Pelodiscus sinensis: one gene and its partners. The protein of the gene in region 1 purifies or fractionates together with the protein of each later gene. This does not show direct contact. Links are inferred from orthologs where the notes say so. Each region holds a gene or a part of one and is shown on either strand. Other genes may lie near its edges. The genes, in order: SNW1, DDX23 and BCAS2.

The links.
Region 2: the proteins of SNW1 (region 1) and DDX23 purify together in Homo sapiens (affinity purification with mass spectrometry; 3 studies listed by BioGRID and IntAct, with this or other methods). This does not show direct contact. The link is inferred for Pelodiscus sinensis from reciprocal best matches to the Homo sapiens genes SNW1 and DDX23.
Region 3: the proteins of SNW1 (region 1) and BCAS2 purify together in Homo sapiens (co-immunoprecipitation; 3 studies listed by BioGRID and IntAct, with this or other methods). This does not show direct contact. The link is inferred for Pelodiscus sinensis from reciprocal best matches to the Homo sapiens genes SNW1 and BCAS2.

The regions. Positions count from the first base shown.
Region 1 is NC_134714.1:41,584,918-41,588,657, forward strand, and holds the start of SNW1 (SNW domain-containing protein 1), read left to right. Parts: upstream 1-1,421; 5' UTR 1,422-1,554; coding exon 1,555-1,568; intron 1,569-3,033; coding exon 3,034-3,187; intron 3,188-3,740. UniProt on the Homo sapiens protein: Involved in pre-mRNA splicing as component of the spliceosome. As a component of the minor spliceosome, involved in the splicing of U12-type introns in pre-mRNAs.
Region 2 is NC_134729.1:5,094,170-5,097,909, forward strand, and holds the start of DDX23 (putative ATP-dependent RNA helicase DDX23), read left to right. Parts: upstream 1-1,130; 5' UTR 1,131-1,284; intron 1,285-3,451; coding exon 3,452-3,621; intron 3,622-3,706; coding exon 3,707-3,740. UniProt on the Homo sapiens protein: Involved in pre-mRNA splicing and its phosphorylated form (by SRPK2) is required for spliceosomal B complex formation.
Region 3 is NC_134737.1:741,770-745,509, forward strand, and holds the start of BCAS2 (pre-mRNA-splicing factor SPF27), read left to right. Parts: upstream 1-1,005; 5' UTR 1,006-1,084; coding exon 1,085-1,177; intron 1,178-3,740. UniProt on the Homo sapiens protein: Required for pre-mRNA splicing as component of the activated spliceosome. Component of the PRP19-CDC5L complex that forms an integral part of the spliceosome and is required for activating pre-mRNA splicing.

The DNA of each region.
Region 1 (3,740 bases):
TCCCAAAAAGAATCTTATATAACAGCTGTTCTCAGGTAAAAAGTAGGATATTTTGAATTAACTATAGTCTATATGTTTAATGACTGAAATGTAACAACAATGTGATGTTGCATCCCCATATTTTTATTAAAATGTGGTTTTGAAAATTAATAAGCTTTATGCAAAATGGAGCCTGTAACATATCACTGGAAAGCTTGTAATCCCTTGAGTATGTATATTCTATTTGTGTGAATGCATCAGGCCTATATTTGAAATTATAATATGAAGTATACACCAGTTTATTGATCTAGGTGTGCTAGTGAAAGACATTAATAGTACTAAGGAACTTAATGGCCCAGTGTTCAAGACAATACTCTGTGAATAGTCTCATTTTTGCATGTTTCATTTTGCATTTTGTATGATGCTTAGCTGGCATGTTATGTTTTATTTAGCTTAGTAACTACTTTGATCTGGCTATCATCACTTGCAATCACTTAAATGTTGCTATTTATATTTAATAAAAATCTCTTTTATTATTAAACCCTGTGTAAATAACTGTTACCTAGGAGTAACAACAGCTGTGCATCTCTTATTGAAAAAGGGGGCACACATCTTATGAGTTCACGCTACATAAACTTTATGCATAGTGAGATGGATTTATTTTGGGTGTTAGTCCCATTGGGGCCATGCACCTGGGATCTGTGTCAAGTCCCTGTGACTGAGCCTTTCCAAGGCTGAGAGACTCTCAGTGTTTGTGTTGCTCTTCTGTGGGCTGTGACCCCAACTCTGTACCTTTGCTGGGGAAGACCAGAGAGCCTGGCTCAGCAAGATAGAGTGTTGGGTGCACCCCAGAGGGCAGATAATGATATGATCAGCCCATCAGGGGGCAACCTCCAGGGAATCTTTGTGACCTGGGCCAACCCTCACACACAGATTCACTTTGTTAATTAAAAGGCAAGTATAGTATTAATAGTCTCAGTACCATAATTGTCATTTGTTTTAATCTGGAAAAAAGACTCATATCCAAGGCCCCCTCAAACTCTAATAGCCCTGGGCCTACAGTCAGACACCTTTGGAACAGATTGTAGGGTTGCCATGTGTCCGGTTTTGAACAGGACAGTCTAGTATTTGAGCTTTCTGTTTGGGAAACAAATTGAGAAAATATAAATGAGAAAACATAAATGTCCAGTATTTTCTAAATAAGATGTAATGTAGATTGTGATGTGATGTCAAGTGTCTCCACTATTTTTGTTGAAACCGTCTGGCAACCTTAGATCGGTGCTAGCCCAGCCGAGCAAAGACACCACGGTCTTAAAGAGATTACAACTCGCACAATGCCTATCTCTTGCGCATGTGCTTTAGAAACGTGTATGCCTCCTCCAGTCTAGGGTAGGCTTGTGAACGAAGACTACAAGTCCCAGAAGATGTTTCGGCAATAGCTCTGCGGAGTGTAGCGTATGGTCTTCGCGCTGAGGAAAGCTGAGAGACTACAACTCCCAGCATGCTTTTGATATCTGCGCCTGCGCGTTTGCTATCCCCTTCGTGCGGCTAGGGTCCCCGAGCGAGACGAGGAAGATGGCGCTCACCAGGTTGGTGGGGCTCAGGGCCGCAGTGCTTCCGTCCTGGTCCTATTCCAACGTCCCTTGTACCCCGCGCTCTTCGGGGCCCGAAGAGCCTCTTCCGGGTGCGAGGGGGCTGTTGGCCCTGCCAAGGGACAAGCCAGGCTGGCGCCGTGTAGGCCTCTCCGAGCCGGGGCCTTTCCCCAGCTCCCAGCCGCGGACTTATCTCCCAGGGGGCCAGGCCCGTAGAGACAGGCCGGGGCGTGGGGACCGGACACCTCCCACCGGCCTGCACTGGGCTGGGGGAGGGTAGGAGCTGCCTGCGCCAAGGGCGGCCCTGGAGGAGACCGTGTGCACCCAGGGTCGGGGGCTCGGCGGCCACCCCGGGCCTATGCCACGGGCCCGTGCTAGGGGTCTGGGGAGGGAGCTAGTTACGGACAGGAACCTCCCTCCAGAATCGCAGCGAGTTGTTTGCCGCTGACAGGGTTAATGCCCCCTCCGCACACCCCGTGTGGGGGTAGCGGATCCCCAGTGATTCCTTCTCCGAGGTGCTACACAGCCACTCCTCCGTGGTCACCGGCGCATAGGGAGCCTGGGGTCTGATACAGCGGCGTCCAGGGCATGCTTATGCATGGGGTTTACACATATGTGTTGGGCTTGGGCAGACACCTGCGGACTCTGTTGTTAGGTCCTATTGTGTGTACGGCTCTGTCTACGTCCTAGGGCAGTCTACTGAGAGAAGTTGAGAGGTCAGTGTCATTCTCTGTTTAGGTTAAGGGACATGTCTTTTTGTGTGTACTCCAATATATAAACCTTTTGGCAGCCAAACGTTTCCTTAAGGAAATGCAAAGGGGGCAGCCTGGTTCTGAAATGGGAGTGCAGAGCAAACTAAAAAGTGGGAAGTTAAGATTTTAGCTCAGTCCTTTGTTCTTGACCAATGGGGACAAGAGATGTTCTGGAGAATGTGTAGTCATCCCCAGAGAAAGGAACATCTTGTATTGCTTGGGTACCAAACCTTGGTCAGAATGAGTTGTATCACTGTGTCTGTGGGCATTTATGTGAGGAGTCATTAAGAACTGGAGGATATTTTCTTTTTCACTTTGACAGAATGATAGAAAACATACTTATGTAGAATGCGGTTATGTTTTGTAAGATTCCTACAGCTCTGTTGCTAAAGAAAAAACAGAGGTGGCTCCTTCTGTTCAATCAGGGGTGGGAAATATGCACTGCACTGGGACTGGGGGATAAAGAAAGGAGAAAGAGAAGAGTGAAGCTGCCTTCAACATTTCAACTCAGAGACAGCTGTGGCCCAGTTAAAAGTCCTGCACTCAATTAAGTGTTATAAATTGTTTCTGATTCAACACAGATTTGTGGCAAAGATGAACAGTTCCTTGGAATACTCTAATCAAAGAATGAAATATTGCACTTGATCTCATTTGTGTTGAGTGGGTGAGACTGTCTCAAAGTTAATATCCTTCTCTTTTTGTCTGTTCAGTTTTTTACCAGCCCCAACTCAGCTGTCTCAGGACCAGCTAGAATTAGAAGAAAGAGCAAGATCTCAGAGATCAAGACAGACTGCACTGGTATCATCGCGCAGGGAACCTCCCCCTTATGGTTATCGAAAAGGATGGATACCACGAATGCTAGAGGTAAATATTTGACTTCATACTCTGGTGATAGCTCTCATTTATTTTGGGGGAATTTTTTAAAAGATTAAATCCAAGCATTTGAACATAGCACAGAAAATTGTATAGTGCCCCACCATATCAGAAATTGACTGGTTATGTCCATCAATCCAGGTAGAAATATTCTGGGTTTGTTTTTGTTTTATAGTATTACTACTTACTAGAGAAACCTTCTAACTATATTGTACATAACCTTCCCTGTGGAGAATATTATGAAGTGAAACAAGTAGTCCTTGCAGATGCCTTCTGAATACATGTCTATTTTCATTTTCCTGATTTGTTAAATATACAGTCCAGATGAAAGTTCTCCGTGCATGGTTACAGTTGGACAGCTAAAAAAAAGTTGAATTAGAGAATAATCTCATAGTTATGTTTTCATAGATATCAGCTTATTTTATTTTCTTGTGTTTGTAGTAACATTGGCATTTGTCAGACATTCAGTGTTATATGTGATTGTCAGAAGAAACCTGAGATGATGCACATTCTTAGTCTTTACCCTGAATTTAGTTAATCTCAT
Region 2 (3,740 bases), on another chromosome or scaffold:
CTGGCTGTAGTGAAACAGTTGCTGCCCCTTTGCCCTCTTACCTGCATGGTGGTCCCTGGGCCGGTCCCTGCCAGGACAGCAGGGCCGATCCCTGCCAGGACAGCAGGGCTCTCTCCTGAGACTGGTGGAACTCAACTCTGCTAGGGTGCAGAGAGAGGCAAGGGGATGTGATCACAGTATAAGGACCCTTCAGGCCACAGTGACTATGGGGTTCTGGTCCAGGCAGTGGGGTTGGTGTCTAGGGCCAGCCTGGCCCTGTAACTCACAGCAGCTCCTTCTGCTGTGGCAGACAGTCGGGAGGGAGGTGGTTTGGTTACAGCTGTCCTTCTCTCTCCTCCCCTGCCCCCTCTTCAGCCCAGCCCCTTCTTCACAGCAATCAGTGGGGCCATGAGCTTGGCCGGGCCAGCCCCAGGAAGTCTCCCATTGCCCCTGAAGCTGTGACTGCAGTGGTTCTAACATATTGGGGGGACGAGGGGGGCTCTTCAGACTGGCCCCAGAGGGCTCCCTGTCCTGGAGATTCTGAGCCACCGGCTCACAGCGGGCCAATAGCCCCGTGGGCTGACACTCTCCCTTGGAAATGTTGGGCTGCAGAACCAGCTGGCTCAAGAGAGCTGGAAGCCCTGGGTGTTAAGCTAGTGAGATCCTGGTGAATGAAGTGGAGGAGTCTACCCTGGCTCTGGCTGCCGGGTTGAGGAGCGTCCCCAGGGGCCGTGCTGCTGGTGGGGAGAGGAGGAGCAGGCTTGGTGTCTTCTGCGGAGCCCAGCTGCATGGGAACCCAATGCACAGAGGCTGGATGGGTGGGGGCAGGGCTGGGTGCACAGGAGGAACTGGAGCAGGGGCGGTGAGGCCAGAGGGCGGTGTTGGGGGGGGGGGGAGAGGGAGAAAGAAGCAGCAGTGAGGCCAGGGCCAGTGATAATGAGGGTGGGGGTACAGGCAGGAATGGGGGGAGGAGGAAGGGCAGTGATGGGATTGGTGCTGGTGCAGCAGGGCAGGCTGCTGCCAGCAGTTGGGGGGGGCGGTGGCAGGGCGCGCTGGGGCAGCAGGGGGCGCTGTTTCGGACTCAGCGCCGGGAGCGACCTTCCCTAGGATGCCGGCGGCGAGCCGCGCGGTGCCTGCTGGGAGCGGTAGTTGCTGCGCTGCGGACGCGGTCGCCGCCGGCCGCCCAAGCCGGCCTCGCTTTCCCGGCATGCCGCGCGGCGTTGCGACAGTGTCGCGCGGGGGCCTGTCGTAAGATGGCGGCTGCTGCGCAGGGGCTGTGAGGCCTAGTAGGAGGCGCGGCGCGGGGTGAGTGCGGCGCTGTGGGGCCCCGGAGCGCTCTCGGGGGGAGGGGAGCCCGGCTCTCGGGGCAGCCGGTCCTGCTGCTCCTGGGGGCAGGGGCTCGAACCCGCCGCCCTGCGCCCCGCAAGCCACAGCCGGAGCCCGGGCCCTGTTGTGTCGGGGGGGGGGGCAGAGCCTGGGCCCCCTGGGGTCTCGGGGGGGGGGGCAGAGCCTGGGCCCTGGGGTCTCGGGGGGGGGGGGGCAGAGCCTGGGCCCTGGGGTCTCGGGGGGGGGGGGCAGAGCCTGGGCCCTGGGGTCTCGGGGGGGGGGGCAGAGCCCGGATCTCTGGGGTCTCTGGGGGGGGGGCAGAGCCCGGATCCCTGGGGTCTCTGGGGGGGGGCAGAGCCCGGATCTCTGGGGTCTCTGGGGGGGGGGCAGAGCCCGGATCCCTGGGGTCTCTGGGGGGGGGGCAGAGCCCGGACCCCTGGGGTCTCTGGGGGGGGGGCAGAGCCCGGATCCCTGGGGTCTCGGGGGGGGGCAGAGCCCGGATCCCTGGGGTCTCGGGGGGGGCAGAGCCCGGATCTCTGGGATCTCTGGGGGGGGCAGAGCCCGGATCCCTGGGATCTCTGGGGGGGGGGCAGAGCCCGGATCCCTGGGGTCTCGGGGGGGGCAGAGCCCGGATCTCTGGGTTCTCGGGGGAGGGAGGGGCAGAGCACGGACCTCTGGGCAGTCTCGTGGGGTCAGGACAATGTTCCCTCTAATTCCTTCCATCCATGTGCAGAATACATTTTGCGTGCCCTGAGGCATGTGTGAATGTGCACCACCAGTAGGAACAAAAACCTAGCTGGGGGCGCTCTGCTAATCATCTGGGTGGCATCTGAATGTCTCCTGAGCAGCCGCACAAGCGCCCAGCTTAGAGGGAATAGTCTGGGATGCGGAGGAAGCCCCCTCTGCTGGGTTCTCTCGCATGGTTGGGGAAGAGGCGGAAGGGAGTCTGGGAAAAGCCCTGCAAATCCACAGATATCTGTGGGTGTCCCCACACGCGGATGTGGATGTGTGTATCTACGGCTCATTTGCGTGGATGTGGTTGCAAATGTTGGATCTATAACACTGCATATATTCTGGTCATCTGTGGATGACCCTTTTATACCCACAGGTCCTGCTTGGATACCGCTGCTAGGGATGTAAATATACAAAGTGAACTGGTTAAACGATTTAATTGTAATCAATGAACCGGTTAACTGTATTGCTGGGGTCTGGCCATCCTGCTGTGGGGGGGGCTCTGCCCTCTGTGTGCGGGTGGGGGACTGCTCTGGCCAGCCTGCTGGGGTTGCGCTGTGCTGTAGATGAGGAATTGCTCCAGTTGGCCAGCTGTGGTCACGCCACGCTGTGGACTGCTGTGGCCATCCACTTGGGGTCGCACTGTGGGCGAGGGACTGCTTCAGCCAGCCCACTGGGGTTATGTCACGCTACGGGTTGGGGACTGCTTTGTGTTGTGCTGCGGGACTGCTCCAGCCAGCCCACTAGGGTCAGGCCACGTCACAGGTGGGGGGGCTGGTCCAGCCGGTCAGCTGGGGTCGTGCCATGGGCGGGGGACCACTCTGGCCCACGGGTTCCTGTCAGCCGGGCCACAGCAGATGGGGGACTGCTTCTTCCCCCCCCCCTCCGTTTAACCAGTTATCTGGTGAGCATGCTAGTATGGCTAATGCTTACAGGTAACCTTTTACGTCCTTAATGGATGCGGATATCCGCAGCTCACTTTTGCAGATACAGATGCAGGTACAGAACTTTGTGTCTGTGCAGGGGTCTATTCCTTGGTTCTTTCGTGGAGTTGCGGGGGAAGTGGACTCCTGGATTCTCTCCCAGGGTTAGGGTCATGGGTTTACTGTGGTAACCCTGTATTAAAAAGGGTGTATGTCCTGTGAACTGCCCAGACACCCCTGCTGCACCAAGGCCAAAATAGGGAATCACCCTCTTCCCTTCCCCTCTGCCCTTGGGCCAATTCTGGATGGGAGTCAGCGCCCCCCAGAGGGGAAGATCCTCATTCTCTGCTCTCCCCAAGCCAGCCCGCACCTAATGATGTGTCCCGTGTATTTTTTTTTGGGGGGGGGGGGCAGTGCCAAGCTAATGGAAGCTCAGTTCCCCTCTCACACCCTCCACACCCCCATTAACAGCCTCTTACTGCCCTGCACAGATGGCTGGTGACGTGCCCGACAAGAAGGAGCGGGACTTGTCACCCCCCAAGGAGGAGAGGAAACGTGCGAGCTCCCTGGACAGGGACCGTGACAGGAAGCGACACAGGTCTCGGGAGAGGAGGCGGGGCAGCCGATCAAGATCCCGCTCCCGTTCCAAGTCAGCTGAGAGGTAGCAGCCTCCAGGCCTAGGGGTGGGGGGCCGTGTGGTTGGCTCTGACAGGCTGGTAACTGATCCCCCGGCTCTACCCTTGTAGGGAGCGGAGACAAAAAGAGCGTGAGCGGAATAAG
Region 3 (3,740 bases), on another chromosome or scaffold:
AACAAGTCTGTTGGCCTGACAGTGCAGCTGGAGGCTGGTTTCTGATAGCACTTTCTCATAAACAGTTGTTTACGTGGCACTGATGGACTCTGACTGAATCCTGTGTAATGACAATGACTGCTGTAGTGAAATGAAAAGTCTTCTTAGTGCTCCAACCTAACGTAGCACGTACTAGTTGTATACAGTGTTGACATACAGAATTCATACATGAGTTTGAAAAGTCCCCAGTGGAGCTCAGTTCCTTGTATAGAACAACACTTGGAAGGGGCTTATATTCCCAATAGCAGTTTGTCCATGTCTACAGGGGTATGATTTTGCGTAAATACTTTTAAGAGTTTTTGTGTTCAAGTATTTGCGTAAGAGTGTTTGCAGGTGCCTGTGCCGTGGTGCACGAGGTGTCCACGCCAGTGCAGACGCTCTCTTGTGCAAGAACGCTCTGATGGCCATTTCAGCCCCTGGGCTTTCTTGTGTAAGATACTCCTGGTGCCTGTGCCCCCTGGGGCAGCCGGGCTTCTCCAGGAGCGGGCGGCGCATGGCTCCGGCGCACGAGGCCCTGATTCCTGAGCCCATGGCTGCTCTGGCCCAGGAGGTCCCGCCCGGAGCGGCCGCCCAGCCCCTGCCCCGCGCTCTGGCTGAAGGGGGCGCAGGCCCCTCAACGTCTCCCGGGAGCGGCGGGGCGCGGGACCCCGAACCCGGGGGGGGGGGGGGGGGGGGCTGACGCGGGCTTGGCGCCCCCCGCTCTGCCTCGGGCGGGACCGGCCCCGCGCGCTGGGACGAAGCGGAGCTGGCGGTTAACGGCTCCGGCTGCAGCCCCCGCCGCACGCTCAGGCCAAGCCAGGGAGGGGCGCAGGGCCCATCCCCCCGGTCTCTAAGGAGACGCCGCGCGCCAGGGCCAATGGGCGGGGAGGGGCGGGCTGAGGGGGATCCAGGTGGCGCGTGCACCCTACGCAGCCATAGCGCGCGGGTCTCTGCGCCTGCGCACAAAAGGCAAGCGGACCGGGGCGCAGGCGCGCTGAGGGCAGGGGCGTCGGGGTCACGGCGCAGGCGCAGCGGAGCGGAGCGCGCGGTCGCTCTCACTGCTGCCATGTCGGGCCCGGGGCTGGTGGCCGGCGAGGTGGCGGTGGACGCGCTGCCCTACTTCGACCAAGGCTACGAGGCGCCGGGCGTGCGGGAGGCGGTGAGTGGGGGGGGAGAGAGCGCTGGGCCGGGTCGTGTGTGTGTGTGTCGGGGGGGGCTGTCCCCGTGTGTGTGTGTGTGTGTGTCGGGGGGGGGCTGTCCCCGTGTGTGTGTGTGTGTGTGTGTCGGGGGGGGGCTGTCCCCGTGTGTGTGTGTGTGTGTCGGGGGGGGGGCTGTCCCCGTGTGTGTGTGTGTGTGTGTGTGTGTCGGGGGGGGGCTGTCCCCGTGTGTGTGTGTGTGTGTGTGTGTCGGGGGGGGCTGTCCCCGTGTGTGTGTGTGTGTGTCGGGGGGGGCTGTCCCCGTGTGTGTGTGTGTCGGGGGGGGCTGTCCCCGTGTGTGTGTGTGTGTGTCGGGGGGGGGCTGTCCCCGTGTGTGTGTGTGTGTGTGTGTGTGTGTCGGGGGGGGCTGTCCCCGTGTGTGTGTGTGTGTGTGTGTGTGTGTCGGGGGGGGCTGTCCCCGTGTGTGTGTGTGTGTGTGTGTGTCGGGGGGGGCTGTCCCCGTGTGTGTGTGTGTGTGTGTGTGTCGGGGGGGGCTGTCCCCGTGTGTGTGTGTGTGTGTGTGTGTGTCGGGGGGGGGCTGTCCCCGTGTGTGTGTGTGTGTGTGTCGGGGGGGGGCTGTCCCCGTGTGTGTGTGTGTGTGTGTGTCGGGGGGGGCTGTCCCCGTGTGTGTGTGTGTGTGTGTGTGTCGGGGGGGGGCTGTCCCCGTGTGTGTGTGTGTGTGTGTGTCGGGGGGGGCTGTCCCCGTGTGTGTGTGTGTGTGTGTGTCGGGGGGGGCTGTCCCCGTGTGTGTGTGTGTGTGTCGGGGGGGGGCTGTCCCCGTGTGTGTGTGTGTGTGTCGGGGGGGGCTGTCCCCGTGTGTGTGTGTGTGTGTGTGTCGGGGGGGGCCTGTCCCCGTGTGTGTGTGTGTGTGTGTCGGGGTGGGGGCTGTCCCCGTGTGTGTGTGTGTGTGTGTGTGTGTCGGGGGGGCTGTCCCCGTGTGTGTGTGTGTGTGTGTGTGTGTGTGTCGGGGGGGGGCTGTCCCCGTGTGTGTGTGTGTGTGTGTCGGGGGGGCTGTCCCCGTGTGTGTGTGTGTGTGTCGGGGGGGGCTGTCCCCGTGTGTGTGTGTGTGTGTGTCGGGGGGGGCTGTCCCCGTGTGTGTGTGTGTGTGTGTCGGGGGGGGCTGTCCCCGTGTGTGTGTGTGTGTGTGTCGGGGGGGGGCTGTCCCCGTGTGTGTGTGTGTGTGTGTGTGTGTGTGTGTCGGGGGGGGGCTGTCCCCGTGTGTGTGTGTGTGTGTGTGTGTGTCGGGGGGGGGCTGTCCCCGTGTGTGTGTGTGTGTCGGGGGGGGGCTGTCCCCGTGTGTGTGTGTGTGTGTGTGTGTGTGTGTGTCGGGGGGGGGCTGTCCCCGTGTGTGTGTGTGTGTGTGTGTCGGGGGGGGCTGTCCCCGTGTGTGTGTGTGTGTGTGTCGGGGGGGGGCTGTCCCCGTGTGTGTGTGTGTGTGTGTGTCGGGGGGGGGCTGTCCCCGTGTGTGTGTGTGTGTGTGTGTCGGGGGGGGGCTGTCCCCGTGTGTGTGTGTGTGTGTGTGTCGGGGGGGGCTGTCCCCGTGTGTGTGTGTGTGTGTGTGTCGGGGGGGGGCTGTCCCTGTGTGTGTGTGTGTGTCGGGGGGGGGCTGTCCCTGTGTGTGTGTGTGTGTCGGGGGGGGCTGTCCCCGTGTGTGTGTGTGTGTGTGTCGGGGGGGGCTGTCCCCGTGTGTGTGTGTGTGTGTGTCGGGGGGGGGCTGTCCCCGTGTGTGTGTGTGTCGGGGGGGAGGCTGTCCCCGTGTGTGTGTGTGTGTGTGTGTGTGTCGGGGGGGGGCTGTCCCCGTGTGTGTGTGTGTGTGTGTGTCGGGGGGGGCTGTCCCCGTGTGTGTGTGTGTGTGTGTGTCGGGGGGGGCTGTCCCCGTGTGTGTGTGTGTGTGTGTGTGTGTGTCGGGGGGGGGGCTGTCCCCGTGTGTGTGTGTGTGTGTGTCGGGGGGGGGCTGTCCCCGTGTGTGTGTGTGTGTGTGTCGGGGGGGGGGCTGTCCCCGTGTGTGTGTGTGTGTGTGTCGGGGGGGGGCTGTTCCCGTGTGTGTGTGTGTGTGTGTGTGTGTGTGTGTGTGTGTGTGTGTGTCGGGGGGGGGCTGTCCCCGTGTGTGTGTGTGTGTCGGGGGGGGGCTGTCCCCGTGTGTGTGTGTGTGTGTGTGTGTGTCGGGGGGGGGCTGTCCCCGTGTGTGTGTGTGTGTGTGTGTGTGTCGGGGGGGGGGCTGTCCCCGTGTGTGTGTGTGTGTGTGTGTGTGTCGGGGGGGGGGCTGTCCCCGTGTGTGTGTGTGTGTGTGTGTCGGGGGGGGGGCTGTCCCCGTGTGTGTGTGTGTGTGTGTGTCGGGGGGGGCTGTCCCCGTGTGTGTGTGTGTGTGTGTCGGGGGGGGCTGTCCCCGTGTGTGTGTGTGTGTGTCGGGGGGGGCTGTCCCCGTGTGTGTGTGTGTGTGTGTGTCGGGGGGGGGGCTGTCCCCGTGTGTGTGTGTGTGTGTGTGTCGGGGGGGGGGCTGTCCCCGTGTGTGTGTGTGTGTGTGTG